Linked DNA regions of Lonchura striata. Each later gene encodes a partner of the first gene's protein in a complex. Links are inferred from orthologs where the notes say so. Each region holds a gene or a part of one and is shown on either strand. Other genes may lie near its edges.

Region 1 (16,833 bases):
TTCTCCTGCCTAGAGGCAATTTCTCATGAGGCGGTGCCTGAGCATTCTCAGAGATGGGAAGGACATGAGAGAGCAAATGCCAGCAAAGACTTTGAGCAGGGACGTGGGACGTGTGGGTTGGACAGTCGGAAGAACTTTTGCCCAGAGAGGGGCAAAATAAGATGGGAACAGGCTGCCTGGGGCAGTGGTGGGGTCCCCATTGGGGGAGGGGCTCAAGGAAAGAGCAGGCGTGGCCCTCAGGGCTCTGCTGGGGTTGCCATGTTGGGGATGGATCCTCCCAGGGCACTTGATTCCACAGTTCTGTGACATCACAGCCTCTGGGGCTGGCAGGGTGGCGTGGAACTGTCCCCAGCCTGTCGCTGCGGTGCCCAGAGAACGCCCAGTAGCCAGTGTGGAGACACAGCCAGAGTGGTGCTGAGGTGACGGCTCCCGCCACAGCAGCACCATGGCTGGTGACGGCCCCTGGTTGCCTCTGAGCATCTGCATGCTGTTCATACTGGCCCTGCCCCTCAACCCTTCCAGCTACCCTGAGGGGGACAAGGGCACCGTGGCCTCGCTCCCTGAGGAAAGGGAGCAGCCAGCCACCAGCCGTGAGACGACCCCCTGGTGGGTCCCGGTGGTGGCAGAGGCCGTGGTGGCCACCGTCGTGCAGCTGCTGCTGACGGCGATTGTGGACCGCCTCGGCAGCAGGCTGAAGAGCTGGTGGGGAGAGGTGAGGGAAGGGTGTCAGGCAGCTGGGATGGGGGCAGGGGTAAGCATGAAAGAAGGCCTTGAATCAAGCCTGCGTCGGGTGAGGCCTGAGAGCCGCCATGGAGGGGAAAAGCTGGTCAGATCCCAAGGGTCCTGGCCCTCTTGGCAGTACTTTGCCCAAGGCCCCAAGGCAGAGGGGGACTTGCAGCCCAGGGAGGGAATCAGGGCTGGGGGCTGAGCCCCAGGGACACCAAGCTGAGCTGCTCAGAGCTCTTCTCCCTGCAGCCTCAGCCCTGGGCAGCCTGGCCAGGCCAGAGTGTCTCCTGGGGCGTCCCAAGTGATGGCCAGATGGCTCATCGCCACACTCTCCCCGTTCTGTGTCTTGCAGGAGAAGAGCCAGAGCCCCCCGGTCTGCGCAGGGCAGCGCTGCTGCCAGGGACGCGGCTGCAGCAAGGAGCTGCTGCAGCTGCTGAGGCAGCACGATGCCCTGCTGCGGCTGTGCCTGCGCCTCAGCTCTCCAGAGAGGCGCCGGCAGAAGACCACAGCCAAATGGGGACTGCGGAAGAAGAGGCGGCTGCACTTCTCCCCCCAGCTCTGAGGTCCCCAGCTCTAGCTCGCCTCTCGGCTGGCAGAGCAGAGCTGGGGCATGTATGTTTTTAGGTGTAGGTTTTAGTTAGGATCCCCTTTGTTAGCTATAGCTCCCCTTAGGATAGCCATAAGTTCCCCAAAACCTTTTTCCCAAGATGAAGTTTTTCTTAGCTTTCTAGTTCTAAGATATTATCAAGTTCGTTTAGGTCTTAGGTTGTCCCCATGTAGATTTCCCACCCCATAGTTTTAGATTTTTGGAGTATTAAATTTGAATAAAGTTCATCTGTTTTTTCACTTTGTTGTTTTATTTTCTGGATATTCCATCCCCGTAGGGGCAGATTGACTGATGATCATACCCGGTAGCTCCAGCCAAGCTGGAATGGGAAGCGTGAGTGTCCCAGCAGGGATTGAGGGCATGTGGAAAGAAAAGGGGGTGGGCAGTATCCACCTGCCTACATCTCTCATGGAAGCTTTGCTTGGATCCCTGCGTGCCTTATGCTGGGGGCCCCAAAAGAGTGCCCTGGGCTAAGAAAAGAATCCCTGTTTGTAAAACAGGGATTGTACCATGTGTTTGTGATCTTCTGTACCCAGGTTCTGAAGCTTCTGAGTACTGAAGCACTTGTGTGCATCAGCAGAGGTAGGAACTAGGTACCTTTGAGATGCCGTGCATAGGGTGGAGCAGCACACTTTGGGCTCCTGGCATTCCACTGGCAGCACTGCAAGGAGAAAAGAGGCAAAGTGATTGTTGGATGCAAATGTACACAGGATGACAGGGCATGACCCAGCTGCATTTAAAGAGCAACTGAATAAAGGTTTTGAATCACAGAATGGTTGAAGTTTGGAGCAGCCTCTTGATATCATCTAGTCCAACCCCTCTGCTCAAGCAAGGTCATTTGGAACCAATTGCCCAGCACAGTGTCCAGCTGGGTTTCAAAGATCTCCATAAATGGAGTTTCATGACCTCTCTGGGCAACCTTTGCCACTGTTTGACCACCCTTACAATTAAAAAAAAAAAAAAATCCTGTTTTCCGTTTGAATTCGATGTGGCTTAACTTGTGCCCATGTTCCCCTTTTACTGAGCACTACCGAGAAGAGTCTGACTCCCTTGCCTTCATTCCTTTGCATCAGGTGTTTAGATGCACTGGTAAGATCACAGAATCACAGAAAGGGTCAGGTTGAAGGGATCACAGTGGGTCATCTGCTCCCTGCTCAAGCAAGGTTTTCCTGGAGCACATGGCACAGGATTGTTTCCAAATGGATTCCCCCTGAGCCTCTCTTTTAACAGTTCTAGCTGTCCCAGCCTTCCTTCATATGGAGGGTGCTCTAATCCCTGAATCATCTTTGTGGCCCTTGGCTTGGCTCACGGTAAGTCCATGTCTGTTGTGTACACAGAAGCCCAAAACTGGGCACAATTCTGAATGCACCATGCAGGCAAATCTAGCTCCTCTCCAGATCTGAACCTTCACACTTATTTTCTTTTTCAGTCCTCAGTCCCTTGGTACAGCTTCCAGCAAGTGTGCAAAGTGCAGCGTTTGCACACCTTTCCATCAGAAGTATGAGTGAAGCTATCAGGTTCATGATGCCAACAAGAATTCACAAGCTGATTCCTGCAACTCAAATCAATCTCATGTTCTGTGAAAGGAGCTTTGTTACCAACCTCACTTCCTTCTGAAAGCTGCCAAATGCTCCCTATTTGATTGATAATCCGTGTAAATTTCCTGTGTACTTCATGGGGAAAAAACCCATATTAATTTCTTGCTGGAGCTACTGTGTTCTTATAACAGTATTGATCAGTCATTTACACTGATTCAAATAAGCCCAGTTAATATTTTTACTAATAATTTGATTGCTATAACCAGACACAGCAAGAGCAGGTTAACTGGAGCTTAAAACTGGAGTCAGAGATGGAAGATTTGTTCACTCCTTCTTACCTGAATTCCTGTCCTGAAGGAGTGAATCAAGGTCAGTACATGGACACATTCCAGAGTTAGTGAAATCTACAAAAGAGATACTTGTACCATTTTTACAATTTCTTCTGCAAGAGTCCTGTAGAGAAATAGTCGATTTATTAAAAAAAAACCAAAAAAACAAAAAAACCAAAAAACCCGAAAAACAAAACCAAAAACAAGCAAACAAACAAACAAAAAGGTGGGGGGGGATTTTTGTGGTAATTGGGAGTGGGGCTGCAGCCAAGCCTCCTACCCAATGGGTACAGCTGTGAGAAGCAGGTGAACAGCACTGAAAGCCAAGAGCCATGGAGTGCCTCCATTGGGGGGTATGGTAGGAGGAAGGCTCGACAGAGTTCTGTTGTGTGTTTGCAATAATACTGTAGCAAATGAAAACACTAAAGCAAGCTTCTTTTGTTTTGGGGTTTATTTTTTTTTTTTTTTCTTAATAGACAAACTGATAGGAAATGAGTTTCCTATGGGACAGAGCCAGGAGGAATGGACTTCATATAAGATTTTCCACACTATTTGTCTTGGTTTGACAAGACAGGAGTCTGTGAAGGAGGGCAAAAGCCTCCTGTGCAATGGAGAAGGTAAACTCCCTCCCTCCGAATTACCAGGATTTTTAAATGAAAAGGCTCTCAGGCAAAGATATGGGAATGGGAGTAACAATTCTTTACTAGGAGAAACTAAATAACAATTTAAAAAGGCAAATGCAATTGGTACAAACAGAACTAGTGATAAAGTCCACAACCTGACACCCTGAGGAGTCGGGCTGTTGGTAGCAGTCCAGTTGAAATGACAGCTGCTCGTCTTGCAGTGGCTGATGAATTGCAGCTGAAGTGGTGATCTTTAGAAGGGTATAGTTTTCTCTGAAGATCTGGTGGCAGTTGGGCCGGTCTTCCTCTGGGAATCCAGCAAAGGGGCCACTTCACTGGGAATCCCGCCAAAGGAGCTGCTTCTCTGGGCATCCCGCAAAGAGAGAGAGAGCTGCCCTGTCTCCCCAGAAGGTACCACTTTATATCATAAAAGAGTGCTTGGCTTCCCCCTCTGGGTGGAGCATCTCACAATGGGATGGTGTAACATTACCAGGCCTGCAGTGAGTCAGTCAATGTCCCATTAACAAACGATTACCTCTTCGGAGCAAACCATCGTTCTTGGAAGAGGTAATAAACCTACCCAACCTCCAACAGATGGCAAATAGAATACAAGCTTATCCTACAAACCAGAACAGATAGTCAAAGACTTTTTGATTTCTTCAAACCCCTCTTTTCAGTACCATGTATAAACAATCTTAATCTTTTGAATATTAAATATCAATATTGAGTGTCTTAGTTTCCAGCAGTGACCATGTGTGTCAGCATCCTGGTGAGAGGAGGAAAAGGCTTGTTTGCCACTATCATTGCAAATAACCGCTGATTTTGCTGAGCACAAAAGACAGGGTCTGTGTCCATCAGGTTTTCCTTGTATTTTCTTTTGGGCCACAACCACAGCACCACAGTTTTCAGAAGAGATTCAGAGCCACACCACAGTAATGCAGCTTTGTTCAACCATATTAGATGCAAATTTCTGCCACGCAATGAGAGGATACTTGAATTTCAAATCAAACTGAATTAACCAGAAATACATATAGACTAGGAAGCAGGAAAAAAAAAGTGTCCAGTCACATGGATAGAGAACAGAAGTTCTGAAGTCACTGGGGCACCCACAGTAGATCTTTTTCATGTTTAGGGACTAGACTGCCTGACATTACAGGGCCTTCAGTTTGTAAACCCATCTTATTTTCCCATATTCTGTAATACAATGCCTACACTGGGGGTCTATTATGACCAGGATTGCTTCTAAAAGGAAAAATATTTTAAATTAATTTAAACAAACTAGAATTTAAGAAGCTAGAGTCTGTGACCCCTCTGTTGAACTCCTTAAGAGCACAAACCCCACAACTGCCCTCCAGTATGGTATCCTTGCAACAAGGATACAAATCTGGTATCCTTGATACCACACAACAGAGGGGCTGCATGCAGTTCTTAAGCCCTTCCTAGTGAAATCTTACAACTTGTAAGCAAACACTCTTATAGAAGCAATACTCATCAGCAACAAAAAGCCTTTTTTAAACTGAGTCCTGGATGCCCTAATTCTTTATGGGCTTTCAAAAATATCTACTACATCCACTTAGCCTGCATATAACATTTATTTTTTCAGTTCAGTGGAAAATTAGAGACTAGTACCCTTATCTCACATTTGAAAGCCACATTATTTTTATTTTACAATCCAAATCAAAATTAAATGTTCTATTTCATTTGGGAGTATTTTTGAAAAAAATTAGGAACACAAAGGGAAGATAGGGAATTCCATGTGTATGCTTTATCTGGAATTAGGCCAATGATCAAAACAGTGAAGCGTTTAGACCATCCCACTCTAGAGAAATTGTTGAATGAACTATTTGTCTTAAAGAATGTGCCCTGCCCAAATAATGAGGCTCAAGACACAAATCCGTTCAAGCAAGACCAACTGAAAATTCAAATTTATTAATGCCTCCCATAGCTCTGTATAACTTTTGTAGGGATATCAGCTTGGCCCACTCTGTATTTTATGGGAGAAATCCCTCAGTGGTTATCAGGCAGTTGATGTTGGCAGACTGATTTATCACCGAATACCTGGCACATTCTTCAAAGTAGGAGTGGAGCCGTGGCCTCTCCTCTCAACATGTGGCCAAATTGCAGGGCAAGGGTGTTGGTAACACCCCTACAAATGTTCTGTACCTTCTCCCTCTCTCCCTCCCTCATGCCTTGGTGAATATTGACATATTCTTTTATGTAAGGGGATAATTTAAGCAGGATTGGATACGTCTTCCACCACTGAGTAACTCAGAGCCTGCCTGAAAAATAATTCTCATGGGCTATTGGATGTGGGGGCCACATCCTGATAGGCTGCTGAAGGGCTAAATGCAAAGAATTTGTTGTTCTCTTGTTTCTCGTGAAAGACAGAACATATTTACTGGAATATAACCCTCCCTTATTATGCCATTTATAGGAAACACATATTCAGTGTTTATAAAACAGTTAATTTATAACAGACAAAACCAGATTATCAGTCTTTGGAAGAGCAAATATTTGTTCAAAAACTTCTAAATGGGACAGACATCTTAATCTCATTTTTAAACATAACTGATTGAGAAACATAACAGAAGAGCTATCTAATAGGTAAGATAAGATTTATATGAAGTATTTAGATTGTAAAGAAAATATCATAATATATTTTATATATATAATGCAATTTTATATATTTATCAATGATTCTCTAGATGTGATGTTTTAAATGGTTGTAGATCTTAATCTGTTTCTAATGGATTTTTGTCTTGCTCTAATGCTTTCAAAAGAAAAAGGCATTTGCACAAGAAGCGTCTTTCTTTGATATTGATAGAAATAAATATTTCTTAAAATGGAAATAATGTTCACTTTGCTCTGACACACATTTATTAATGAGCTCTCTGCTCTACAAATAAAGTAAGTTGTCTAAAATTAGCAATAAGCTTCACTCAGGTCTAAATACAAGTCTATACTGTACATAAATTCTACTTTATTGTTCCCAGAACTGTTTTTCCTAGTTCTAGAGGACATGCTCTGTTTCTAACTAGTAAAGGTGAATGATACAGCTGCTTTAATGTAAACTTTAAATGTTTGCAATCTCAGATTTGCAGTGATTACTTAGTGCAACTGCAAGGTTCTTATTTCCATGTTCACTGCACCCAAATCAGTAGCACATGTGTATGCGTTTGCCTGAGGATTCAGGAATCTTTCCTTGAGTGTTGAATAATTTGGGATAAACCTGTAAACAAGAGCTTCTGCATTTGTCCTGCCCTTCCCATCCAAAACCAGTCTGTGTGGGGTAGGCAGAGCCCTCTGGAAGGCAGCTCAGCACTTTGCCCAGCCAGTCCCTTCACATCTCCTGGGGATGCTGGCGGCCACTTGAGCCACGTCCTGTCCCAGAGCCCCCAGAGAGAGAGGCAGCAGTGACATCTGCCAAAGGCAACGCTGTGTGCAGGAATTGCATCGAGAAGATAACAGAAAAGATGAGGAAGGCCTTGTGCTCTGCAATACCTGGTGAGCAGTTAGGCCTGATGCTCTTTCAGAGCAAGAAACTGCTGCTGCAGGAAATCCTTTCCCTCTCATTGAATATGATCAAAAGCAAAATTTTCCAATCCCTGCCTCTTCACTAGAGCTGACTCTGCAGTGTCCAAGGATGCTTCTTCAAAGTAGGGATGACTCCCAGAGGAAAGAACCTCCTTCTTTGCTGCCAGGGCAGGTGCAGCATTGCGGCAGGAACAGGACCTCTGTGCCTGTGTTACTTCCTACAGAAGTGGGTCACTACAGCAGAAGGAATGTTCAGCAGTTCCTGCACTAACTCTGAGCTGGCTGCTTCAGCCTGCCAGGGGACAGTGAGTATCCCAGCACTCCAGATGTCCCATGCACTGCTTGGCTAGCAAGGCATGAGCTGAAGTCAAGTCATCCCCTTCCTTACTCCAGTCCTGAAAACCCAGACACTGAGAATCCCATGAAAAATAAATCAAGGGTTAATGGGAAAGAAAAATAAATTTAAAAATATTCACAACATATTTGCTGCATATTTTTCTCCGTTCTCTGTCATGCACTCAAGAGCAGGCATAACATTCATCGATTTCACTGCCTCCTGATTAAGTCATGACAGCCCATCTGTGTTGCAGCAAGTACAGAACATGACCTATTATCTCACAAGAAAATAGCACACCACCTGACTGCCAAAAGCACCTCGTGACTTGGCACCCAAATGTCTCAGTACTCACATCAACATACCTTTCCAGGACTAACTCCCACAGCCTGAATCAGCCAACTGTGAAATTCAGCTGAACTCTGAATAAACCGGATAAAACCAGCTTCCCCATATGCCAAATCACAAATTATACAATGACCATAATTTGCTGCTACAGATCCTTAGCTTAAAAGGAGTAGTTAACAATTGCCACGTGATTCTAGACTGTTGAATCACTTACTACTTTAATGACAGGCCATTAAATCCATCTTTTAATCTCATTTACCCCTTTGCCCACTGCTATACAAAAGGAATCTGTGCAGGTTTGGTGGTCTTAAACACCCCATGTAATTTACAATGGGAAAATGCATCTCCAAAGATTGTAGCCATTCAAAATTTTTCCGTAAGGTGCAATTCAACACTACTTTATGGGAGAGAATTCATATATTGCTACATGGAAAGATGGATAATAATCATATTTGCACTTTATGCTTGCAAAGTGCATTTCATTTGCAAATTTACACAATGTCTGATGCTAAGGTTTGCCTGAGGTGTCCTGCAAGATCTGCCTGGTCTTGTCTGAACATTTTGTTGGCCAGGTTTCAGTATATACCCTGAAGATGCAGAAAGACCTCTGCATCTTTGACCTTTTGCATTCTGAATTGAACAAACTAAAAGTCATTTTGTCGCCTTTATTTCTAGGAAAAACTCTAAAGAGCTCATTACTGGATGTCAACATGAAAACAGGAATCTACATACTTCTCTTAAGTGAAATATGTTTTGAATTTATCCAGGCTGATATCAAACCTAAATTTCCAAAGGAGGAAAAAGAGAGTAATTTCTTGGAAAGAAGTAACATCAGTATTTCCAAAGAGTGGTATCACCACAAAAACATCTCTAAGCCTTTTGAACACCAAGGTTTTGAAGACCAAGGTTTTGAAGACCTCACTCTTCACAACTTCACTGAAAAGACTGCAAATTTTGGATTTAACCTCTACAGAAAAATTGCAATGACACACGATAACAATGTAATCATCTCTCCCCTTTCTGTGTCAGCTCTCATGAGTGTCTATATGATGGCAGCCAAAGGAGAAACACACAGACAAATTGTAAAAGGTCTAAATCTCCATGATGTGAAGGACAGAGTGGATCACCAACATTTACCAGCTTTGTTTAAACAACTGATAGGTAACATCACAATGAATGAAGAATTTCTCCTCGTGCAAGGTATTCTTTCTTTTATTCAAAAGGACTTCAAACTCAAGGAGTCTTTCCTGAATTTATCTAAGCAGTACTTTGATATGGACTTCCTGAAAGTGGACTTTGAAAATTTAACACAGGCAAAACATTTCATCAATCAAAACATTAACAAAATGACCAAAGGAAAAATCCCAGTGTTTTTTGAAGAGCTGGACCGCCATAATAAACTGGTGCTTGTGGACTACATTTTCTTTAAAGGTAATTGCTGTTTTTATTTTGCAGAATAATTATTTATTAGGAGAATCAAGACTCTAACTTAAGCTACATTAGGGGGAGTTTAAATGAATTTATATGTCCTGTTTTCTCTATGTCTTTATCTAAGTTTATTTTTTTTTTCTATTATGCTTATTTAATAGGAAATTATTTTTCATGGCAGGGAACCATAATTCGTCTATGCTGTCTTCCATACAATAGACTCTCAAAGGGAACAAAAAGCCCTGTATCAAACTATCTCAGTCCGTCTCCAAATTATCCCTCTTTATGACAGGAAACATTGTTTTATTTTCATTCACCCATTAAAATGAAAAAGTCTCAATCACAATAGTCTTAAATGCTGAATACTGGGCATAAAATCATGGACTGCTTTAGCATAGTACACAAAATCATTCAAACAAAAATGATTTCTCTATTTCAATCAAGAATCATCTGCCCTAGAGGAACTCAAGTACCCCATTATATTGCCTTACAGGGTGAGGGAAAGAAATGGGCAGAAACCATTCCGTGGAGAAGCCAGTGAATCCCCATCCAAAATATTGTATAATTAAATTAAATACAGGACACTGAACTGCTAGTAGAGAATTTCAGAGGTTACATGTTAGGAAAGGTCAGATGCTCAACAGGTATCAACAAAACAAAGGTAACATAAATTCTGAACTTGAGTGGCAACTAACCAACCTTAGAAAAATATCTCCCTTCTTTCTGTGCAAATGAAGCAGTTTATTTTGTGGATTACTTTGGGGTTTTTTTCCTGTAAAAATATTTATATACAATAAACATAAAATATACTGAAATTGTCATCCACCAATCCCAGACACAACTTATAGCCACTTCAAATAGATTCAGACTGTATCTTTTAAACTTTTTAGAACACTTTTCTGAACAAATCTAAACACACATAATTATTTAATTTCTTTCTTTCCTCAGGCAAGTGGGTCTATCCATTTAATTCCAAATTCACAGAAATTGAGACTTTCCACATAAACAAATACAGAAGTGTACGGGTACCTATGATGTTCAAGTCAGATAAAATTAATTCAACTTTTGATGAGAACTTAAGATGCACTGTGATAAAGATACCTTACAAAGGGAATGCCCACATGCTGATTGTTATCCCAGAAAAAGAGGGAGACTACATTTCAATTGAAGACCATTTGACTACAGAGCTTGTGGAATCCTGGCTTGGAAACATGAAAACCAGGTATTGCTTTGACACCCATGGGTCCTAATGTCTTTGATGTCTACTCCAGCAAAGCAACAAAGCCCGGGAAAGATTAGCTGGTCATCCTAAGCCTTTTCCCCTGGTAGCATCTCTGTGGCAAGAGGTATCTACAGAGTAGAGGTCCTTTAATGGCCTATCCATAGCCCAAGTGGCATGTGAAGTTTTGACTCCAAGGGGACAAAACTTCAGCTCATCTCAGTTAAAAATGTCTCTCTCTGTGAGGGCATGAGTCTTTCTATATTCTCCCTTAGGTCTCTCTCCTTAAATTAGTACTGCTGAGCAAAATCCACAAAAAATCTAGACATTTATTAAACATTTCTTACCAGAGGAAACCCAGAGGAATTGATAAATTTAAATATAAAAATGTAAACCCAAATGATTCCTGTGAAATGTAGTTCCTGAAGTGAAAATTCTTTCACCAGTCAATGAAGTAGTGTGTTGCCGTGGTATCAGGACACTGTAACTGCTGATGGAAGTATTTATACAGAAAAGGAAATTATTTCTAGTATCGCTGGCAGCCAACAGGTTAGAAATTATTTTCTGCCAACCTAAATGCTAGACTCTCCAGGTTTTGTCCCTTCTTTTTCTGTGTAAAGGTTAATTCCTGAGTAGTGTGCATTTCAGCAGTCAAGTGACTGTTTGCATTTAATTTTATTTTTTTTTAACAGAAAAGTGGATATTTCATTTCCAAAGTTTAAACTAGAGCAAAAATACAAAATGAAGAAACTGCTTCAAGGTCTTGGAATTAAAAAACTCTTTACACATTCAGCAGATCTTAGTCATCTGACAGATCACAAATATGTAGCAGTTTCACAGGTAAGCCCACTAAAATTATTTGCTGTTTGGATTATAATAGTATATAAAGAGCCAGCCAAGATGGTCACATGAATGTGTAGGGACACTAATAGCAAAATACCTCATCTGCCAGGTATGTGCAATCTACACACCTTAATCAGAACCGATCCCACTTCAAGTATGAGGTGTGTAGAGGTAAGGAGAAGTGACATCTCACAGATGCTCAACACCTCCCAAATCACAGGAGAGGATTCAATCTGCCTCAAGAGAAATATGGCTGGCAGGTTATGAGCACAATTTTACAAAAACTGTGGACAAGAAAGACAATATAAATGACAGTCAAATGGCAAAAGCCAGGGCAAGGAAGGAAATTCAAGGAAAGAACTCCTCATACACAGTCCAGAGACAGGTACACTTCTCAAAATATAAAGAACCTTAGAAAGTTTAAATAATAAAGTGTCAAAAAGTTAGCAGTGAGGGAAGAGAAGTCAAAGCACTCCTACTTTTTCTTCTATATACTACAGAAGAGAGAAAACAGAATCTCACAGGAAAGAATTGGCATAATACAGTTGCACTTCAACCCATATACATCTTCCACTTTGTATGCTGAAACTTTCAAAGAACCTTTAAACATGTAAAGGCAAGGGCAGTGAACAGCCCAGAAGACAGAAACACAGCCCCACGCAGAAAGAGGAGTAGAAAGTGATATTTTGTATTGCTGCTTAAGGGAGAGCACAGGTGAATTTGAGAAGACTGATGGAAAACACAGACAGAATGAGAAGCAGCAAAGAATGGAAGACAAAGGACTTGCCAATCACATCAATATCAAGAAGGAATGTCTATGTGACCAGAGATGTCTTATGAAAAAGAAACAGCTAGTCTATAAAAAGGACAATTTGCTGATAATAGAAAATTAAAATGCATGGTCAAAGAAAGGAGATGAAAGACAAAACACACAGAGATACTTGTACCCACAAGTATCTTCCTTATAGAAGCCTTTGTGATTAGCCAATTAACAGGGTGGGATAATAAATACTTCTATACAAGTTTCAAAAACTCTCATGCTTGACCTACAGGTTTTCAAAATTGTAGTGGCTTAACAAAACAACCTTTCTGGGAAGATCTAACATCCTAAGAATAAACTGATTAAAGGGATAAAACTGCAGTGATTTTCAGTTTGGTATGAACTATTTCACTGTTGGGAAATTTAATGGCGATCTGCGACTCTTTTCTCCCTTCCTCTTGATCACATAACTTTCATGCTGATTCTCAGCTGTAGAGTTGTGTTTGCAGCAGTTAACTCTATTGTGTTATGAAAAAATCACACTTTAACAGGAGCTGCTAACTGATATTAGAAGCAATATGTGCATCAGCTACGAAGTGCCAGAAGAGCATCCTGTCCCTGGGAATTGTGAAAGACAAAAATATTATTTAAGAATATGTAGCACAAACCTCAACACTGGTGAAGCCCTTCAACTGTTTTCACCTAAGTAATTCCTAGAATTATGAGTTTAAGAGCTGTAAATCCACAAGATCACCAGGCAGTTCACCAGTACAGATACTAATACAGCAGAAGCACACACAGATATAAGCAGGCTGAAAGAACAAAATGGAAAAGATGGAAAAATGAAAAATCAGATTCTGCCAGGCTGCAATTTCAGTGGGTGTGGAAAATATTCAAACCAACCCAGGACTGTGCCTTATTGCTCTACATATTTAGTCTGTGCTACCAAATGTACAAATTAGAAATATACGGGGGAAAAAATAAAGATTGGTGCATTTCCCTCAGCTCTCACAAAGTCAGCTGTGAATGACATATCTGGCCAGTCAGTGTTTGTGACTGGTGAAAACACATTTCCTACAATTGAGAAACATCTTTGCACAGTTAGGTGTCAAATAGGAGCACTCTGCACAAATGCAATGGCTGTTTCATGCAAAACCCCTGATCTTTAAGTGAGGTCTGTGCTCAGGAATGTGAAAACGTGCAATGACTCCTGAACTGGCATCCACACTGTGAGCATTGTGGGCATAGTGGCTGTGCTGACTCCTCCACCAGTCTAACAGAGGTAGATTGCACTGAACTGTTCATTTTAATGCATAACAGAAGCTTTCTTCACCTGGAAGAATAATCTTCATGTTAGTATTTACTTCTGTCACATACTTATTTCTACCTTGCACTTCAGGTTGTCCAAAATGCAGTTATTGAAGTGGATGAAGAAGGAACTGAGGCTGCAGCAGCAAGTGCCTCAGAAATAACTGCATTCACAGTGCCTCCTGTCATCAAAGTGGACCGACCATTCCTTTTCATGATTTTTGAAGAAACTTTTAAAACATTACTGTTCATTGGCAGGGTGATTGATCCAACAGAAATGTGAATAAAGGTAATAGTTTCTATTTTTTGGTATGTAAGAGGCTTTATTTTTATTAATTTATTTTATAATAAAAAGACACTGAAATGTGAAATGTGAAAACCCGTTTTGTCTCTCCTAGTTAGATCATGCTAGCAATATTTTATTAATGCCACACAACAAGCTAACTTCATTAAGGCTCAAAGCAACAAAAATGTGACTTGTAAAATCTACCTTTGGTAAAAGAAAACCCAACAACCACAGAAGTGAAATTTAAAAAAATCAGTATTTTCGTGAAAAATCTGAATAAAAAGCCCCAGACATTCAAATGCCATAATATTCAGGAAGCTCATTCCCAAACACTGCAGATTCCTCAATGTTAGCTTCTTTACAAAGAGACTGAAGAGCCCAGTGACCTGAGTGTTAGCAGAATTTTGCCAGTTATGAAAACAGAATGAGTATCAAATCCTAAAAGTGAATTCTTAACCTTTGTCTAGAGATCTTTATTTCATAGAAAATAAGTCTATCATGAAGTCTGCCTTGTGAGTGTGACCTCTTTCAAAGCATTTATCCAGACTACCAAATCACCTCATTTTCTCAGAGTACATGATGTGCCTTAAAAATATTCTTTGCATTAAAAACAAAATAGTCCTGAAAAATAACTTAGGCATTCTGAGTTTGGAAAAACTGGCCTGTACTATTTCATAGCACAAAGCTAGCCCTCTCTTAAACCCAGACTTTCTACCTGTAATATCATCTAGACACCAAGGTGAACTATGTAACAGGGCTCTATAACTGAAATAAGGCACACTTTGGTAGGAAAAAACATACCTCTATTAAAGTACAACAAATTTATTCACAGAGCTGATCCTAAAATCCAAAAGGTAATGCCATGATGTTTCAGAAAAATATTTCAGAAATATTTTCAGAAAAATATTTCCATGATCTAACCACAATTTCCTTTATTCAAGTAGAGCAGTGCATCCAACAAAATGACTAAATCATAACATTTAATAGATTTTAATTAGCAGAGTCCTATGTATAAAGTATGAAACAATGAAAAAGCTGCTTCTAGGTTTATGTAATTAACAGATGTCAGCGTTATTCTGCTTGATCATATAACCCTCACAAAATAATTGCCCAAAAAGGAGCAGAAGCCTTTTCAAAATCATTTGACAAGGAACTTCACAGGTGTCTATCAGTAAACATAAGATACCTCTGCTAGAGAAGATAGAAAAGATACATTATAGGGTAAAGCTGGTAAATCTCTAAAAATCACCTCAGTTACCATTGCCCACGACAGCCCAGACACTGATGTACCTCACTGAAAAAAGGACTTAGGAGGCAGGCTCTGCTATTTGACTAGACTATGAATGTGCATCTAACCTAACTCCAGACTGCATTACAAATATACCCAGAAAGAGAATCACTCCTTCCTGCCACTGGTCTATAAGAAAACCAACAAATGCCACTGCACAGTTGACCTTCAGCTGTTATTCCAGAGCTACAGCTGACCAGCAGGTACAAACAGTGCCCCGAAGGGTTCAAATGCACTGGTGCTGTTTAGCAGAACTAACCCAGAAGTAAGTGGCATCTAAAAAGACTGCTTGGAAGTAGGTCTGTAGTGCAAAGGACTGATGAAAGTATGCACAAGACACCAGAGGTATTGCACAAGGAAAATGTCCAATCCACAAAATGTCTAAACAGAGCATTTAATGATTACATTGAAGGAATTTTAGGTTATTGAGTAGAGTATGTGTTATCAGCATTAAATAAATCAATAAAAGACAGACTGTTTAGAGAACTCATTACCTGCTTATTAAGGGGAGAAAGAGCTTCAATTCTCTGAACTTACTGGTTGCTCTGCAAGGCATTGAAAGGGCAAACACAGTCTTGAGTCCTGTTCTACAGCTGGCTACTGATGATCTGAGTTTGGTCCCTGCCAAAGGTCAGATTAAGAACAGCCTGAGCAGTCTCCTGTGACCCAGGTGAGCAGCTGTAGCTGGCACTTGAGTCAGCTGTGCCTGGAAAACCAGGAGTATCTGCCTGCATTAATGAACCAAAAGCAGAACCCAGGAGGAGCCAGCCAAGGTCACCTGTACACCTGTACCAATACTGAATGTTAAACATCATAAAACTCAAAAAGCTTTTAAAGAAATATGTGATTTACAAAATCCTATGCCAGGCTGCAGAACAAACTGAAAAATTAAGTATTTCCACAGAACCCAAACAATGCCTGTGACTTAAGACAAAGAATGTTGCTAAATCTACCTGAGGCGTAGGAAGCTTAAGCATTGAGACAGTGCTTAATCCAAAGAAACATTTTGTACTTCACACAAGACAGCATACATCCAGCATTATTTCTATTTTAAATAAATACCCTCCATAGGTAAGTGCTTTTATTTATTTTAATTATAAAAGATGCCCTGAGAATTATTTTTTCAAGAACATGCATGTATAGCATTGTCCTAGGCTTTATTTTGAGTAAATCATCATTCATGTTTTTACATTATAAAAAGTAACCACACACACATATGCATACACAGACCAAATCATCTTTATCATAAACCAATAGATTTAAAAAACCATATATTTCTCATATCAATATATTTATGCTGCCTCCATTTTGAAAGAGAAGCTGACAATAGCTTCATAATCCCTCTCTCAAGTATTGGCATAAATAGAACTTTTCCAAATATGATTGCATGTTTTTCCACATAAATTTTGACAGAAACATTAATGTTATTACAAACAAATGCAGATGACATCACTGAACTATGACAGCTTACAATAGCAGCTGATTAAAAACTAGATTCATTATTATAAATTATTACAGTGAAAATACAATTTGAAATACTAAAATTAAAACAAGTATTTATACAACAAAACATATTAAATAAAACTTTTTTTTTTTACATAATCCAGAAACATTTACTTTTAGATTGCTTTGAAACTTACACAGAATTTTTTATTAACTTAG
Region 2 (16,561 bases), on another chromosome or scaffold:
GCCTTGTAAAGGGAAACATGGGGTAGCTGTAGTTATAGCTCAGATACTTCATGGAGGTGCTTAAATTAAATAACATATTTGTTTCCTTAAACAATATTTTTATGCAGCAATAAGTTTAGTAACCTTTCTTAAAATTTAGCTTGTCAATACTGAAGTGTGCTGCAGCAAGAAAAAAATGTTTTGGATCACCTACCAGCACCAAGGCTGATTTGAAAATGGCTGTGCAGAAGGACACACTCTGCCGTGGTCAACACGAAGTTACTTTTTAGCAGCACTCCTCCACAGAAGCCTTTCCCTTCTGAGTTTAGCAGCAGCACCTAAGAAAATGCAAAAAACAATAGATAGCACTATCCATGTCAGGGAAAGTGATGGGTTTCATGAATTGCTAGGAATACCTGCCAAGGAAATCGCTCATCACTTTTCTTCCTGGTTTCACTTATAAGGTTATCACTCTCTTGAAGTCTGCCACATGCACATGCATCTAACAAATGAATTTAAAAAAATCAAAACTTCATATTGTATAATTTCAAGATAGCAATATCATTTCAAGATAACTAATACCTGCAAATGCCTACTGTTCTGCCTAGACTTTGGGGTTCTGCTTTTGCACAAAGGAAAAGCAGAATGGCAATTTCTCAGCTGGTGAAAACTGGAATAATTTGTTTGGCAATTTTAGTCATAACAGCTTAGCAATGGGCTGAACATGGTCACCCTGTTAGGCTTGTAGTGACCAGGTTTCACTGTGCTTCATTTCACTAATGAAGTGAGGTTTCCTCTCCAGCCAACCATTAGCACATCTTGCTTTTTCATCTTTGTATCCTGTATTCAAATTGTGTCAAATACCTGAGAGCTATGGCCCAGTCTGGACAAGGTAAATCCTGGATTTTCCTTACAGCTGTCACTCTACAGATATGCATGCCTTTCTCATCTGGTTTAAACAACACAGATGCTTTTCGACTGGATCACCCAGTTATCTGCATTTGTCACATTTCCACTTGGTTTGGTTTGGGTCACACACACTGGATTCGGTTCAGGGGAAGCTAAACCTCAGGACACCTTCCAGGTGCACACATTACATGCTCTCACAGCTGGCTGGTGCTTAGTCCACAGGACTGAACTAGGCCAGTTTGATATAAAGCCCCCCTGAAGTGTACACTGAGTGTGCACATCAGTCTTTCACTGCCAAAAACGTGGCTCTACAGATGAACTCCGATTTCACAGCCCCACTTGTGCTAATACAGACACAGGTCTAAATATACTTCCGTGGTTTTAGTAGACCTACTTTGTAAGGGGATGGTATTTAATGAGATACCTAATATGAGACCGAAGAACTAAAAAGGGCTACTGTTTCAAGCTAATTAATATGGCAGCAAATGTTTCCCTTCATGTATTAGACGATTGGTCAACTGATGGGAATCAACTGAATCTCATTCCCAAGCAAGCAGGCATTCAGCAAAATTACCCTTTCCTAAACAGGAGTGGAAAACCTGGTCCAGTGAGTGATATGTAGGGTGGTGCAAGTCCTCTCAGCTGATTCATACTTAAACATTCTGATCAAATAGCCCTTCTTTTACCATTACTTTGGCATCTTGGGTGGTGGTCCCTAGATTCCTTTTTCTAGCCACAAATATTGCTTTAGGCTCGAAGCAGACTTGAGCAGGTGCCCCCTTTATGTCCATGCTCACACCTACCTAATGCAATGCACCGTCTTTTATCCTTCCCAAGCTTGTAGCCATCAGCACAGGAACAGCGGTAGGAATCACTTCCTGGATAGCAGAAGTGGTCACATCCTACCTTTGCTTGGTGGTGACATTCATTTTTAGCTAAAAAAAATAAGCAGAGAAAAAATGTGGAGTATTCTTTCACTGTTTGAGACCTCTAGGTTTTATTTTTTATTCACTTTGTGTGGATGTGGGTTGGGACTCTGACTTGGTAGTATTTACCACTGGGAATTTTTCCCCTTGTTAAACAGAAATTGGAGAGAGCTGAATGTCTGCAGCATTCACAGACTCATTGTGCTCCCCCCTGCCTCTTGCTGCACCAGACACAGCACCTTTGAGTTCTGGGAAAGGGTGACATGGGTTTTTAAACAAAACACCAAGTATCTGCAGCAAGGAGAACTGTTGCACGTCATGGAGACAAGTATTGCTCGAGGAAGAAGGCAGCTAAGGTTTCTGGTTTTGAGAAAAACCCATAGCTCTCATTTTGCACACTTATTTAAACAATCAGCTCTCAAAGATAAGAAAAAAAGAAAGGGATTATGAACTTTGAAACATGCTCAACTTTCCACAGCTAAGCAAACACTTAAATCTTTAGCACAAAGCAAGTGTTATTTGATCTAGCTCATAGGTAGCAAAGAATCTTGTAGAACATGATGCCTAAATCTCACACAAAGATGATCTAATTCCCAACTCTTGTCCAAGCTCTGTCACCTTCTGTGCTCCTCCAGAAGCCGGTCACAGTCACACCCCTTATACAGAGAATGACCCTGTCTTCTGCAGCCAGGGCGTCTCCCACCCCAGGGGACTCTGAGCCAGCAGAAATACTGATGTCAGGGCTGGAAAGAACAACCTGGCAGATATAAAAATGTAGTATCTGGCCCAGGGTTTTCCTGTGCCAGAACGCATCTGTTTTACTTTATGCTTTTGCCTTCCACTGGAAACAGTCTGTTTTCTGGAGTCCTTCTGTCCTGAGGGACTGTCTCATGTGGCCCCAGAGGCACCAGGGTGCCTGGGACGCCACCCTGGCACTGCAGCCTCAGTCCTTCAGGCCACATCTGGGAGCACAGCAGGACAAGCAGCCAGGCAGCGCAGGTGGCAGTGGCAGGGCTAGCTTTGGGGTGTAACCATGAGGTGCTTTGGTTTCAGCTCTTTTGCTGCATTCCTGGAGAAGGGAGGCTCAGGGCACAGGGACAGCCTGCAGAGCTTTAGGATGTTTTGTAGGCAGGCAGCACACATCACCCTGCTCTGCCAGAGCTGTGCGTGTTACCCAAAACCACGGTAAGTGGCAACATGGGAGAGCTGCGTATGGTTTCATGGGGACACCCAGTGACAAGATGAGATGGGGCTTCTCAGAAGGAGGCAATGCTTACCAAAAGCACAGTTCTCTCCCTCGTAGCCCTCAGCACAGGTGCAGGTGTAGCCACGGATGCTGTCCTCACACACACCATTGTGCTGGCAGGGGTTTGAGGAGCACCTCCTGCCTCCTGGAGAAATGGAGAGGGAGGAGTCACCACCAGCACTGATCCCAAATTACACAGTCCCCATCCTGGCACATGAGCTGTTCAGAGAAGGGTTGTGAGAGCAGTTTGGAAGGAAATGGGCTAAGTGTCACTGAACTGCTCCTCAGGTGTAATTTTAGCTCAAATCTGCTTCCAGAGGCACTCTTGCAGCCCCTGTCAGAGAGGCTGGGAGACGCCCAGAGGCAGAGCCTCCTTCAGGATGGATGCTCTGATTCAGGGAAAAGAACTGAGTTACAGTTCTTGCTTTTTTTAGAAATGTAATATAAGACTGCTGTTTTAGGTCTCCCATATTAGATTGATATGTACTGGGTAGAAAAAGCTGGCATCAAAATTATAGAGCAAGTGTACAGCAAGCAACATCAAAATAGGAGGAAATATAACTTTTATATATCTGCACAATTATCATGCAGCAGCTCAGACACTAGCAAGCTGAACTGAACATTGAAACAAGAGGGTGTCCTCACTGAGCATGAAGCACCAGGCAGAGCTGCCAGTTTCCCTTCAGGCTACTCACAGGAATGACTCCTAAGCAGTATGAAAACATGATCCAAGTAACAACTACTTATTATAGACATAGGCAATCAGTAAGCAAGCCAGGAATGCCTAACCTGGGACATGTTGTCCAACCTTTCTAAAAATGAACACCTTGTCAGAGAGGTTAATTCAGTCAGTAAGCTGCCCCACCAGATTTCGGGGGTGGAAAAGTGAAAACTCTGCCAGCTATGGGAATAAAACAACAATCATCATCTGCTTGGACTATGGACACACATATCTTTGAGTGTTAGATGTACTAAAATACTGGCTGAAAGAGCTACCAGCTTCTGTAGTCAGATGCCACCAGCATATCCAAGCACAATGTAGGCCTCCAGGGAGGGTTTTTGGGTGAACTGGGGGAATCACCTGCACAGCTGAGCAGGCACAATTGAGGACCTGGAGCTAGGGAGGGGTTGCCCCTGCAGCCTGAAGCAATTAGATGGATTCAAGCCTCTGAAATCCATGTTAGGAAGAAAAGAAACCCAGCACCTAGCTTTATTAAAGGAGGAAAGAGAAGATTCAAGGAAATATAGAGAAATCAGCCTGATTTCTGTTATTGGCAAGCTATGATTAAACTATAAGCACACAACAATATAAAAAGGTGGGAAGTAAAAATCAACATATACTTTTTAAGATCAAATAATTCAAACCATTTAAATCTGATCATACTATAAGATAAGGGACCTAGGGGGAATCAGTGAACATCATACAATAGAAATGTCTCCAATGACATTGTCATTCAGTGAGCAGACTTCTATAAGGCATGCACAAAACTTTTGGAAAGTGATGTTTAAAGAGAGATTGGCAATGGCTAAGTTTATACTGTTGATAAAAGAAGGCTGGGAACAAGTGTGATCTCAGGCAAGGTGCCCTGACAGCAGACATTCAGCAAGATGCCACTACATCAATTTTGACTTGAAGGGACAAAGGTGGAGCAGTATAGAACAGAGCTGGTGGGTGACCCAGCAGTTAGGTGGGTGCTCAGCCTTTCCTTTTTATTCACAATGCAGATTTATACACTGCACACTGGACTTTCAGGGGAAAGCAACACGGATATCAGAGGTCTAGAAGATGAGATTATTGGAAGACAGGAGGAGCGAGGAGGAAAGAAGCCACTTTTCAAAGGCAACATTCTCCAAAATGCTAGAGAAGACGTCACAGAGAAGGAAACACACACTGCTGTTCTTTAGGAAGAAGACAGAACACATGGCAAGAAAGCCACCTCTGAGGCTGAAGTCAGTAATGTGTCCTGATTGTGGCTAAGCTTGTTTGGAGGGACCATTCTGAACTGGTTGCCCTTCTCCCATCCTAGGCTAGAGAGGAAGCCTGCATGACATGCTTAGTACAAATATTCAATGACTCAAATTAGAAATTAATCCCACCCTCAGAAAAGTAATAAAATGCCAGATATTTAGCAACATTCTTCATAACTTTTATAGCACTGATGGGATTCTTCTATGCAATGGCTCCCAGGACTCAGTAATTTAGTGGCTTGTGCAGAAAATTATTACTGACTGCTGATTTTGCCACTTCTGTATCCATTCTTTAAACATAAGATTAGAAATTAATAATAACTAAGTTAAAAACAAGAGAAAAACTTGGGTTGAAGCATTCAAAAAAGGGGAGGGAATAGGGACTAGTCACCATAAGCTGGTGCCACAGGCTTCTTCAGGTGGCATCTTGTTCAGGGCCTGACATCAAGCCCTCAGCTTCTACAGATTTGTTTCTCATCTTGGCACCTGTCAGGGAATGATGCAATCCCACTGTGCATATTTTGTAGACAGCTCAGTAGCTTTTAATATCGATTTCTCTTTCTCAGATTTAAGTGCTAATTCTGTATTTGGGAGATTTTGCTGGTAAAACTGTGCTGCTGCATTGTATCAGCAAAACATACTTTCTCATTGCCTAGGCTGTTTCAGATTCAGGAAAAGAAGCAGCCCATTTACTGTAATATCCTTTACTTACCTTCTACTTTAATTGTTTTTGAAGCTTTAAATGGTTTTTCCTGTATATTACTTTTTAAAAATCATTTCACATGTAGAATTTTCCTTCTGCTTTACTACAGACATGACAAATAGAGACTGATTGTTTCTCATAGTATAAACTCTTAGAAAATCAGTATTAGTCTGAATCAAAATGTTCATAATGTGATAGGACTATGAAGGAGAGAAATCAAGAGGCCAGCTTACCATAGTAGATATTCCAAAACAAATTCTGGGTGAAAAAAAGGAAAGGAAATTAGAAAATTAGGAAATTATTTAATTCCCATGTAATGTAATATGTCATAAATTCTTTGCTAAACCAAAAAACATGTTATGAGAGAATATATACAGTGGTTTAATATTTACAAAGCTGAACAACTATAATGTGCTGCTAGCAAATATACACATGAGAAGGGAGGGGCTTTGTCTACTGCTTACTTTATTGTTTCTTTAGAAGCTGTTCAGGAAGATGAACACTTCTTAGGCCACAGAGGAACAGCTAGATCCTTTAACAATGCAGCTCCCTGAAAAAACTGGCTGGTTATTGTCTCTCTGGTGTGCAGCAGCCTGGGAAGTGACCCCATCCTGTCCCATCCCACTTGGCCCCCAGCAGGTGCTGCTGGAGGCAGGGTGGTCAGCACAGAGCAGAGCTGTGGGGCACCACTGCTGGTCACCACCAGCCTGTGCCCTGCATCTCCCTGGGTACTGCAGCTGACCCTGGGGCTTTTTTCCCCAAAGTGACACCTCTGCCCACCCCTCCCTTCCCCAAAGCGCCACAGCTGCCCATGGGCAGCCCTACAGCTGTTTCCTCTGCTTTCCCTGCAAACAAAACTCTATCCAGATTCCTATTAAAGGGCACAGCAGACATCTCTATGTCTGGAGAGCCCCTGGTGCAAAGGAATTTGCAGATACTCACCAAGTGAGCCTCTCTCTATAGATCCCACTACTTGCTGGTGCATTGATTCCCTCTGTCCCAGTCATAAAATCACAGAATGGTTTGGGTTGGAAGGGGCCTTAAAAATCATCTAACTCCAATCTCCTGCTGTGGGCAGGCACATCTTCCCCTAGACTAGGTTGTTAAAGGTCCATCCAACATGGCCTTGAAAACTTCCAGGGACAGAAGGAAGCTTCTCTGGACAACAGTTCCAGTGCCTCACATAACTCTAACTCCTCTCATTTATTTCCCATGCTGCATGCATTTGCATTAGAGGATTTGAGTTGGGCCCTGATGAAGCCAATTTACTGTCTGGAGAGAATGGAATTCCTTTGTGCTGCCTTCCAGGTGCTCTTCTGCTGACCAGCACCCCTTTGCCCCTCCTAGTCCCTAAGGGATGCTGAAACTGTATTTCTGTGTGGTCAGGATGGGACAACAGCCACGTGATTTACTAATACAAAGAGCATGACACATCATTTTCAGGAGAAGACTTGAACAACATCAGAACTGACCTCCTTGTTTCCATTTTGACCATGGAAAACACCTGCTTGCTACCAGCAGAGGTGGAAAATGCAAAAATTTCACGTGGAGAGAAACCCAAACAAATGAAGCAGTCTTGTGTTTCACAAATAAAAGATCATGGAAGCAGTTTTTATTGTGCATGCAGGGAAACAAAATACTTACGAGCATTTCATCATCTTCAAATACTTCTCTTGCTTCTTCATGTGTACATCTCTCTTCTAGGCATTCTCTTTCCAAGCTACCTTCAAGGACTTCCTCCAGAAGTAGGGAACTGGCACGTCTCTGTCTCTTGATAACACTGTTTGCATCATGAGCTGATATAAATACTGGAACATTGTATGACAAAACACTAATATAAGTACTTAGATTAATTTCCTTATATATTTTTACCTTCTTTTTTTGAGATAAATAATTTTGGTTGATTTGGGGTTTCAGCCACATAAAACTTACATACTTAAAGAGCTCTAATGTTTAGACTAAATTCAGCTGAGGAGTTGAGACCTTTTACTTCTGGGGAATGCCTGACTTGCGCCCAAGCAGGGGGAATTTGAAACCCTTCCTGGCACATTGTTTTACTGCATGAGATATACAGAACACAGTGCCGGGCCACAGCCAGGGAAAGGGGGAAAACATTATTATAAAAGACAAAGGCTATTTAGTGAGACTGCACAGGGGTTTCAGATGCATTGGTAGAAGTGGATATTAGTGGTATTAAGCTATGATGGTGGATCCAAACTGATGCTCTTCAGTTTTAGTTCATGGCAATTTTATTTTATTGAGGATCAAAGCCATGACATTGCTGAGTTCTCAATCAATTCTCTGTTAAGGAGAGTAAATAAAAACCACCCCTCATCAATGCTCATAGTTAAAAGGGCTATATCCCATGCCACTGTTTATGTGGAAAACACTGTAACCTTTCAGAGAGGTGTGCAAATGATACCTCCATCAAAAACTGCCGGGCAGCTGGTGCCACCCTGGAGCTTCATCTTCCACATGAAGCAATGTGTGATCGTGTGTGTCAGCATGTGTTTGTCAGTTCTTCTGTGCTTGGAAAGTAAATGTGTTGGGCAGGGAATATTCAGGGTTTTTTTCTCTTTTATACAGTGTTTGGGGACCCAACACTGCTGGTTGATGTAATCAATAATCATAGAACTGGAAAAAGTGAGAGCAATAGCAAAATAATTCCAGAACTGTGTACAGATATTTAGTTATCTTTTTGAAAGACACCCCATAAGCAACTGACTTGCACATGATACTAAAAAAAGAAAAGCTTAATGACTGTTCTGCATTTTAAATGTTATCTGACCCCCAGCACATATTTCTGCCGTGCAGTGGTTCTGCTACATCCAGCACAGCTGGCAGTGAACTTCTGCCACAGGGTGTTTTGACTTTCTTAAGAGAACACCATATTTTTCTTCCTTGCCTGGCTCTTCTTTATTTTTTGACAAACCATGGAGAATAATACAGAAACACAGACTTCCTCAAGCTATAACAAGCATGCATATTGGCCTCTTCCATAGTAGTCTCTCATTTTTATTTCAGCAGGAACTAGAAATATAAAACAAAATTCGCTTTAATATCTGAGATACTCTAAAAATTGTACGGAAAGACAAAATATTACCCTGGCATAAATGATGGTACTTCAAAACTACATTGCCCCATTAGCCTACAGCAGTTTTCACTTAGCTGCATGAAATAAACAGCAGAATTTAAAGAAAATAAGGAATGGACTGTTTTCATTTATTTCACTCTGTGCAACAAGGTAAACATTATACAAGGTATAAAATTACTGGTGTTTTTAGAAAAGCAGCAGCACAAATCAGAATTAAAGGTGCAACAAAACAAAAGCCATACCTGCCTGCTCTGTCTGAGGGAAAAGGGCAGAGAGAAGGAAGAATATTATCCAAGAGCACCTTGCCATTGTCACCCTCTGAGCCTGACAGTGCCGGTGCCTGCCTGCATTCCTGCAGCTCTTGTGGGAAATGGCTACAGGAGAGATGTTGAAGTTTAAAGTCCAGCTGCTTATGGGCAAGTCTTGGCTGCAATGTCAACACATAGGGAAAAAAACCACAGAAAACAAACCCAAACTAAACCAAAGAAATCAACGCCCAGCTCAGCAGTGCAGCTGTCCCCTTCTCTCCATGCCCTGGCCGACTGTGGGGCCTTTGCCAGTGCCCCTGGGAGCTGCTCCGAGATTTGGACATTCCTCCCATGCCCCAGCGCTCACCTACCGTAACACGGCGTGGCTGGAGAAGCACAGCACGGACATTTCTTTGTACCCTGTCAGAGCACAGGCTGGACAATGACCTCAGGGACCAATTACACGATGTGGCCCTTTAGGACATTGTACTCACAAAACATTTACCAAGGCTTAGCTACAATGGGCAAATTCCCACCACCTTCTGGGGCAACCAAGCCCACAAACATGATTTTCTCCCCTAAGGGTGTATCTGAATGGATATGGCATTTTTCTTTTTCACTCTAAGTTTTATAATGCCCAGCCATGAAGGAGAGCATGGAAAACTTTTCCTGATGTCAGGATCCCAGTCACACAGAGATGCAGAGCAGATGGAGTCTGTGAAAGGAGGTGTAAGGTTTGGAGAGGACAGAAACAATCCCTGGGCTGCTGAGATATGCACCCTGTGGACAGCATGTCCCTGCTTCCCAGCCCTGGACAAGAGGAAGGACAAACCCATTGGCATGCAATGGCAGTGCTGCTGCAGAGCTCCAAGCATAGACTGGCTCCTGAGAAGAGCAGGAAACCATTTCTACACTCAGAGCAATGACCAGGGAGAGGAAGAGTGGTTTTGTACTTAATCTGAGTTACAAACTAAGACCATTCTGTGTTTTCATATAATAAATCTCCAGCCATTATTTGCGTATGGAGTTGTTTTAATAAAGTATGATTGACCTGAACATCCATGGGTAAATCCACAAATAAAACTGCATTTCCCATCAATTGCACCTTTGAAAACAAGCTTCAGTGAGTATTGAGGCCAGTGAGGGAAACAAACCACATCCCTCACCAAGCCCCTACCAGTCCAGGGCTGATGTTACAGCTCACATCACAGGCCTCAATACCTGCAGCAAATAATCAACCTGAACTTTAAAACTCCATTGTGGGAGGGTTTTCCTGTAGTTTCTGCAGGCCTGTTGTTCCAGAAGTTCACTTGGAGTTAAAACTTTTCTAATACCAAGTTTAATTTTATTCACAGCCAGTTCATGACCTTACGTATTTGTTTTGCTCTCTTTGATATTTCTGCAGAACTAATTAAGAGAGCCTCCCATCCTCTGGTTAACTGTGTGTCCAGCTTTCCTCAGTAAATGAGCTCTCCATGCTCTCCTCAGTCCCCTGAGGCCACCAAGCCCCACTGTACCTCACCCAGCCAGAGCTTTCTTGGCTAGGAAAGGGAGAGTTTTTGCCAGTGGTCACATTTGGTGGATGCTGGGGGCTCAGACAGCACCTCCGGTGTCCAGGAGTCACTGTGGAGGCTCACCTCTCCCCCTTGCCTTGCTTTGCAGGGGTTGTGTTGCTTTTCCACCTTCCTCTGGCTGTCCCTCCCTACGGGAGCACCTGACAGTGAGGCTGCTGCTGTAGCCCCCCAGTGGCCTGGGACCACTTGCCTGTACCTTCTCGTGATAATGAATATTATCCTGTGCATGCACAGCACAGCCAGCCTGGCTCCCTTTGGCATGAAAAATATGTCACCACTTGATGTCAGCACAGGACTTTGCAGAACCCAACACAAAAATATGGATCTGCAGGTTTTGTTTTTTTTTTTTAAGAAACTGTTTACATGTCACAAACCTAAACCTATATCAACTAAGGAACTCTTGTAGGTATAAGTTTGTCATTCAAATTGGTTTAATATTAATAACCCAGAGCTTTAGAAGCTGTATTCTCACAAGATCTTAGTTTACATGGCCCTTTTTCCTTTTACTGTGGGATCTTTTTTACAAAAGATATCCCTTGACTGAGCAGCTGTGTCCTTGAGAATGGGACTCGGTGTACTCAGTATGCATGGCACTGACTTTGCTTTTTCTGTATTGACATCAATGCGACAGGTTTATATTTTAACTTTCATATTACTATGGAAAACTTCATGAAAAGAAGGGTTTAAAAGGGCAGTCCTTTCCTCATGTGTTTCTTTATAAAGAGTTACTGGGATTTCTTTTCCCCTTCCTTTAATTACCACAGTGAGCATATGACAATGTGTTTCATTATGGAGTCCTGCACCCTATTTCCTGCAGCCTTGTTTAGGTGTTGCCTTCCTCTTGAAGGGTTACTCATTCCAGGATGAAGCCTGCAGGCAGTGTCAGACACCAAGTCAGCAGCTCCTCAGGATGGAGCAGCTGAGGGAGTTAGTCCTGCTTTAGCAACTGGTTCACATGGAAGCTGTTCCTTGCCTAGTTCAGCAGCCCAGGGGAAGTGGGTTTGGAGACCTGCTGCCCAGGCAGTGATGGGGCAGAAGTGATGGGGCAGTCAGTGATGGGGACATGTCAATGCCACCCATCTCCAGCTATGGGCTGGCCATCAGCCCTGCTGCAGCACGATGTACCAAGGGCAGCTGTCCTGAGTAACCCATCACATGCTTTTTTGGAAATGCATACCTCAGCTAGTGAGCTGCTTAGTGCAGTTAAAATGGGTACTGATTTCATCTAAACACCTGGATTGAGATCAGCCAAGTCTGTTCACCACCTGCAGAAAAAAAAAAGTTTTTCTTGCCAAATCCAAAGCGCATCAGCATTTCTAAATGAGGAGGAACTTGCGGCTGTTTCAAAAGAACATCAGCACTCTTTGTGGTTTGGTTACAGATTGAAGGAAACCTTGGAGGAGCAAACAGGGGAAGGGAGCTCTGATTTTCTCCTTTGGGTGCTGCATCCATAAGAAGACTATCAGCCTTCTCTCAAGGATATGCAAGCGTCCAGATGGCCTGGCAGTGAAACAAAAGCCACCTTGGAACACCTCTTACATTTGCTCCATCCCCAGAAGTATTCAAGGCCAGGCTGGATGGGGCTTTCAGGAACCTGGTCTAATGGAAGGTGTCCCTTCCCATGGCAGGCAGTGTTGTACGAGGTGATCTTTGAAGGCCTCCTCTAACCAAAGTCCTTCTATGATTCTATGATCTCTGTAGATGCAAGCTCTGTGCATATATTGTTAAAAATAGCAATTGTTAATATTTTATTTATTAAAATATTATTTCTTTATTTCCACCTTCATGTTTCTTTACCTTTTCCCTCAACTTATATATTAAAATTCTTTTCCCTACAAAAATTCCAGCCAAAAAAACTGGCTATGGAAGAACCAGAAGATGGCAGAGCACATGCACAGACAGCATCATAGCACTTCAGCTCCTAGTTACAGTTTCAATGATGGATAAGGGGGGTTGACAAGATGGTTAATTTTGCTTTCAAATGAGGAATATCCTCTCATCCCATGTAAAAAATGAAGCAAAATCACTTTGGAATCTGTGCCATTTGGATGAAGATTTTTTTTCTCCTCCAGCTTTGTCTGGTAACATCTCCCCATTGCCCTAGTATGGAGCTCAAGATAAAAATGAAGGATGGCTCTCAGAGAAACCTAAGCAGCAGATTTTTTTCAGGCAAACTCCTGGAACACTGATGCAGTCTGAAGTGGACAATGAAGAGACAAGAAAGCACGTGGAATTTACCTGGATTTGAGACTTTTTAATGCAGTTTCCTGTTCCTCTGTTTTTCTGCCTGACTCTCTCCACTGAGGACATGGGGCAGCAGCTCTGCAGCTGTGTCCAGATGCTATAATTTAAATTGTTCCTTTGACCAACCAGTCACTTCTTCTGCAACAGACTCGGCAGGAGGGAAGTGCTAACATGACCTCGGCAGCACCAGTGCAAAGACTGCACCCAACATCTTCCACCCACAGCCCAGACATATGTAACTGGGTGGTGGAACTGGCTTTTGCCACCAAGCTGACTTCCAAGACATAGGAGACATGGATTCTGTGGACTTGTGCAACTGTCACACTGCTGGACTACTTTTGGAGATTGACTTCTGCATTTATGACAGGAAAAAACTCTATTCATATTCAAATAGGATGGCAAAAAAAGTTTATTCAAGTTTCAAAGTTCATCTTCAGGATGACTGAAGTTAAAATGAAGTTTTCTCTCTTACCCAACACACAGCCCCAGGCTTCCCTGCATGCTGTTTTAAAGATCTCTTTAATTTGTGTTTATGTCTTTATTCCTCACTGCTGGCTATGGAGCTCTGGAGAAAGAGTTTGGTACTCTGTCCTGTCTGTGCAGACCCAAAAGCATGAGGCAGAGCACTGATGATGTGTGCCTGGCTATGTGTCTAGAGTGAGGATTGCAGTTCTCTGTGCAATTAAGCAGCTGTGGTAAGTGTCCCTGCAGACAGAATTTGTTCTTATCTGGTACTGAATGTCTGAGGAGGTTGATGATGGTGTTTCATGACTGGCACTACAAACTGGGAGGTGAGGAAGGAGTTCAGATGACTGATTCCTCTGAATGCATGTTGAGTTAAAGACAACAATCAAAGCCCATCAGAGATGTCTGTGCCCTCTGTAACTGATTATGATTAAACCAGGAGTGCTGCAGAACTGGGACAAGGGGTCATGGAGGGGCTGAGTGGGAGGAGAGATGGATGGCAATGAGAGAATGGGTCAGCAAGTGCCAGCCCTGTTATGGCCTCCCTGTAGCCCCTGGGACACATCCGAGCATGGCCCACTGTTCCATGTATCAGGCTCTCTCTATAGTTTAGGGCTGAACTTTAATCAGAGGTTTCAAAGGAGGTCCTATGGGAATTCAAACAGGGGTATATCCTTTGGAGCAGTGACGTCAGGGAGTGACGTATGCAGCCATCAGGAGTTGAGCTTCTATCCATGGCTTGAACACCATTACCTACAATGCACTGTCACTCCTGAATCAAATTTATTTAGCAGCCTGAAGCTTACAATGTGTCAGAGAAAAGTGGCAGGGAAATAATACAAATGGGACAGACTCCAGAGTGGGTTTTTGAGTTTTTATAGGAAACCAGACAGTGATCATTGCAGAACAACACTGACTACTCTATTCCTTTCAAACTGATCAACAAATTCTATTATAAAAATCATCCCCAAATAGTGACTTTCACACTTGAAAACTGGAAATGGGTATGGTACGGAATGAGAAAAATATTGCATATTTTATGCCACAATCCAATTTATAACATCTTTCTTCTCTCTTCCAAAATACAAACTGACACACCTTTTGAAGTACAACACAAAGTACTTTTTTGTAGGGGCTCAAATATCTCAATACCTGCTTCGCAATTTTTTACATACCACTGAACTGGATGCAAAACAAATAATTTTTTCTCTGGATTGAAATAAGGCAGACAGAGGATATCAGGTTCAGATGATAAGAGAGTTAGGCTTTTATTAGTCTTGAAATATTAGTTATCCTTGCATATTTAATTTTTTTTTCAGATTTGAATGATTTAAATAATACTTCATATAAATAATAATATATAACAATATTGTAATTTCTAGGGTGTGCAATGCATTCACTTTATGATAGCCAAAACCCTTATATCAATAATGCTGGTGAAGAAAGTATCTCAGAAAGAAAGCAAGAAGCTATCAGAACAGCAGTGATTTTGGTGACAGCAAGCAAGCCTTTCCAATTCAAGGAACTTCATCTAACAACTCATTTCACTCAGCGACCTGCACAGTTAATTAGACTCTTCTGGATCCATGAGTGGTTTTTGCATTTTCTAGGGTTTTTTTTCTCTATACATGTTCTCAAAGCCACTGACAATTCCAATTAATTAATCAGAATATGTTGCAGTTGACATGGTCACAATACAAAACAACACTCAATTTTCAGAAGGCTTCAAACCCAAGTTTTATTATAGAATGCATGCTTTTAATACATTCTTACAAGACTCATAAGTTTACGCTTTACTCATTGGTCAGGAAGGACAAACAAAATGCATATTGAGCAGAGAGTTGCAGGTGTCTCTTATCCTTCTTTCTTTCTTATGTCAATGGCCTTGTTAGAAAATTCTTTCAGGGGTAAACGTGGATCCTCTTACCAAACTTCTCTCTGGGTCACAGAAGTCACTGTAAAACCTCTTCCACGAGAATATATCTAGCAAAATCTTCTGGAAGGCATGGTAGGACAACAACCCCAGAAAATGTGATAGGTTTCTCCAATTTGAGAAAGACTGCTGTTGCTGAAAGTTTCTGTATCCAATTCAGCATGGCCATATATTTTTCCACTCTGTGCATTGGGTCTTACCTTTCCTTGTCTACCATCCCTGTGTCAGATAATGAAAGCAGTTGCTAATAAGACAATACCAACAAGTCTAAGGCATCTCAATAATAGAAGACACCAAAGTTCCTTGTACTCTGTATAAGCAATGTGCTGTACAAATAAAATTGACTAGTCCTGTATCCTGAAGCTACGGCAAATCATACCCATTTTGGAGACGTTTTAGAGAGCTGACAAAATGCCAAGCAAGTAGAAAATCAGAACATTTCAATCAGAATAATGCTTTCAATGGAAACTTTGATAAAACTTTTTGGGTTTCATTACAGTATTGCTATGGCACTCATGATAGACAAGACTCAACACAGAAGAATTTTGCCTCATTTGTAGAGCGATATAGTCAGACTTAAATAGAAAAGAGATATTTATTGTCTTTTAAAAATTCAACATTCTGCATAAAAGAATCTACAAATTCACATATATATTTGTGCTCCTCAATTTGTCTGAAGTCTGGGAATTAAATGGTCAGGCAATTGGAGTTAAGACAACTACAATTTTTGCTTTACTCTGGTACATTGAGTACAACTTTTATGACTCAGAACACCATATTTCAGTGCCTAGAATTTGTGATAAACTACTTTTTAATAAACAAAAATAGTAAACAATATAATTGAGGTTTCAAATATGGAACAGTCCCAGAATAATATCATCATGCTGTCGAAACAGTTATTGCTAATATCTGAATGAGGTCTCTGGAATTCTTCAGTGTTTGGCCAACACAGGAAATTGCATAAAGTTGTACTATTACACCAATTTAACTACATCAGCTCAGCCTTACCTGCCCACATAACTCCCTAGTTTATATTTGTCTTCTAACATACATAAAATAGACTAGGTCAAGACAAGCTTAAAGAAACTGTCTATTCTATAAATTTGGCCATGTATTTCACTGTTACTCAAGAGACAAAATGAGGCAGTAAGGAACAAAAAGAGGGTAAGAAAAACTCTGCTAAAATTCACTGTCTCGCATATGGAGAATAAAACATGGGACATTTTCTTATTTTTGTAGTAAAGGGCAAAATAAGGAGCACTTACCAACAAT

What was found.
Region 2: the proteins of SERPINA10 (region 1) and PROZ are in contact, whole or in part, in a crystal structure (PDB 3H5C), measured with the Homo sapiens proteins. The link is inferred for Lonchura striata from reciprocal best matches to the Homo sapiens genes SERPINA10 and PROZ. Residues at the interface, in NP_001094077.1 of Homo sapiens: Arg88, Lys89, Ser91, Met92, His94, Asp95, His257, Asp259, Lys260, Tyr261, Asn282, Phe283, Lys305, Met306, Asp308, His309, Leu310, Ala311, Leu312, Asp314, Tyr315, Leu316; in NP_003882.1 of Homo sapiens: Cys129, Pro131, Cys141, Leu142, Pro143, Ser151, His250, Met251, Arg252, Asp254, Ala257, Glu259, Asn260, Glu284, Lys285, Asp286, Phe287, His290, Leu291, Thr336, Thr337, Arg338, Arg390, Ser392, Leu393, Trp394, Gln397.

What each region holds. Positions count from the first base shown.
Region 1 is NC_134608.1:15,242,048-15,258,880, forward strand, and holds the start of SERPINA10 (protein Z-dependent protease inhibitor), read left to right. Parts: upstream 1-8,749; coding exon 8,750-9,470; intron 9,471-10,415; coding exon 10,416-10,689; intron 10,690-11,378; coding exon 11,379-11,526; intron 11,527-13,688; coding exon 13,689-13,880; 3' UTR 13,881-13,886; exon of another isoform or gene 13,887-13,968; intron 13,969-16,247; exon of another isoform or gene 16,248-16,833. UniProt on the Homo sapiens protein: Inhibits activity of the coagulation protease factor Xa in the presence of PROZ, calcium and phospholipids. Also inhibits factor XIa in the absence of cofactors.
Region 2 is NC_134604.1:91,532,896-91,549,456, forward strand, and holds the start of PROZ (vitamin K-dependent protein Z), read right to left. Parts: upstream 9,192-16,561; 5' UTR 9,135-9,191; coding exon 9,068-9,134; intron 7,540-9,067; coding exon 7,376-7,539; intron 5,990-7,375; coding exon 5,965-5,989; intron 3,206-5,964; coding exon 3,092-3,205; intron 1,824-3,091; coding exon 1,692-1,823; intron 482-1,691; coding exon 396-481; intron 318-395; coding exon 194-317; intron 1-193. UniProt on the Homo sapiens protein: Appears to assist hemostasis by binding thrombin and promoting its association with phospholipid vesicles. Inhibits activity of the coagulation protease factor Xa in the presence of SERPINA10, calcium and phospholipids.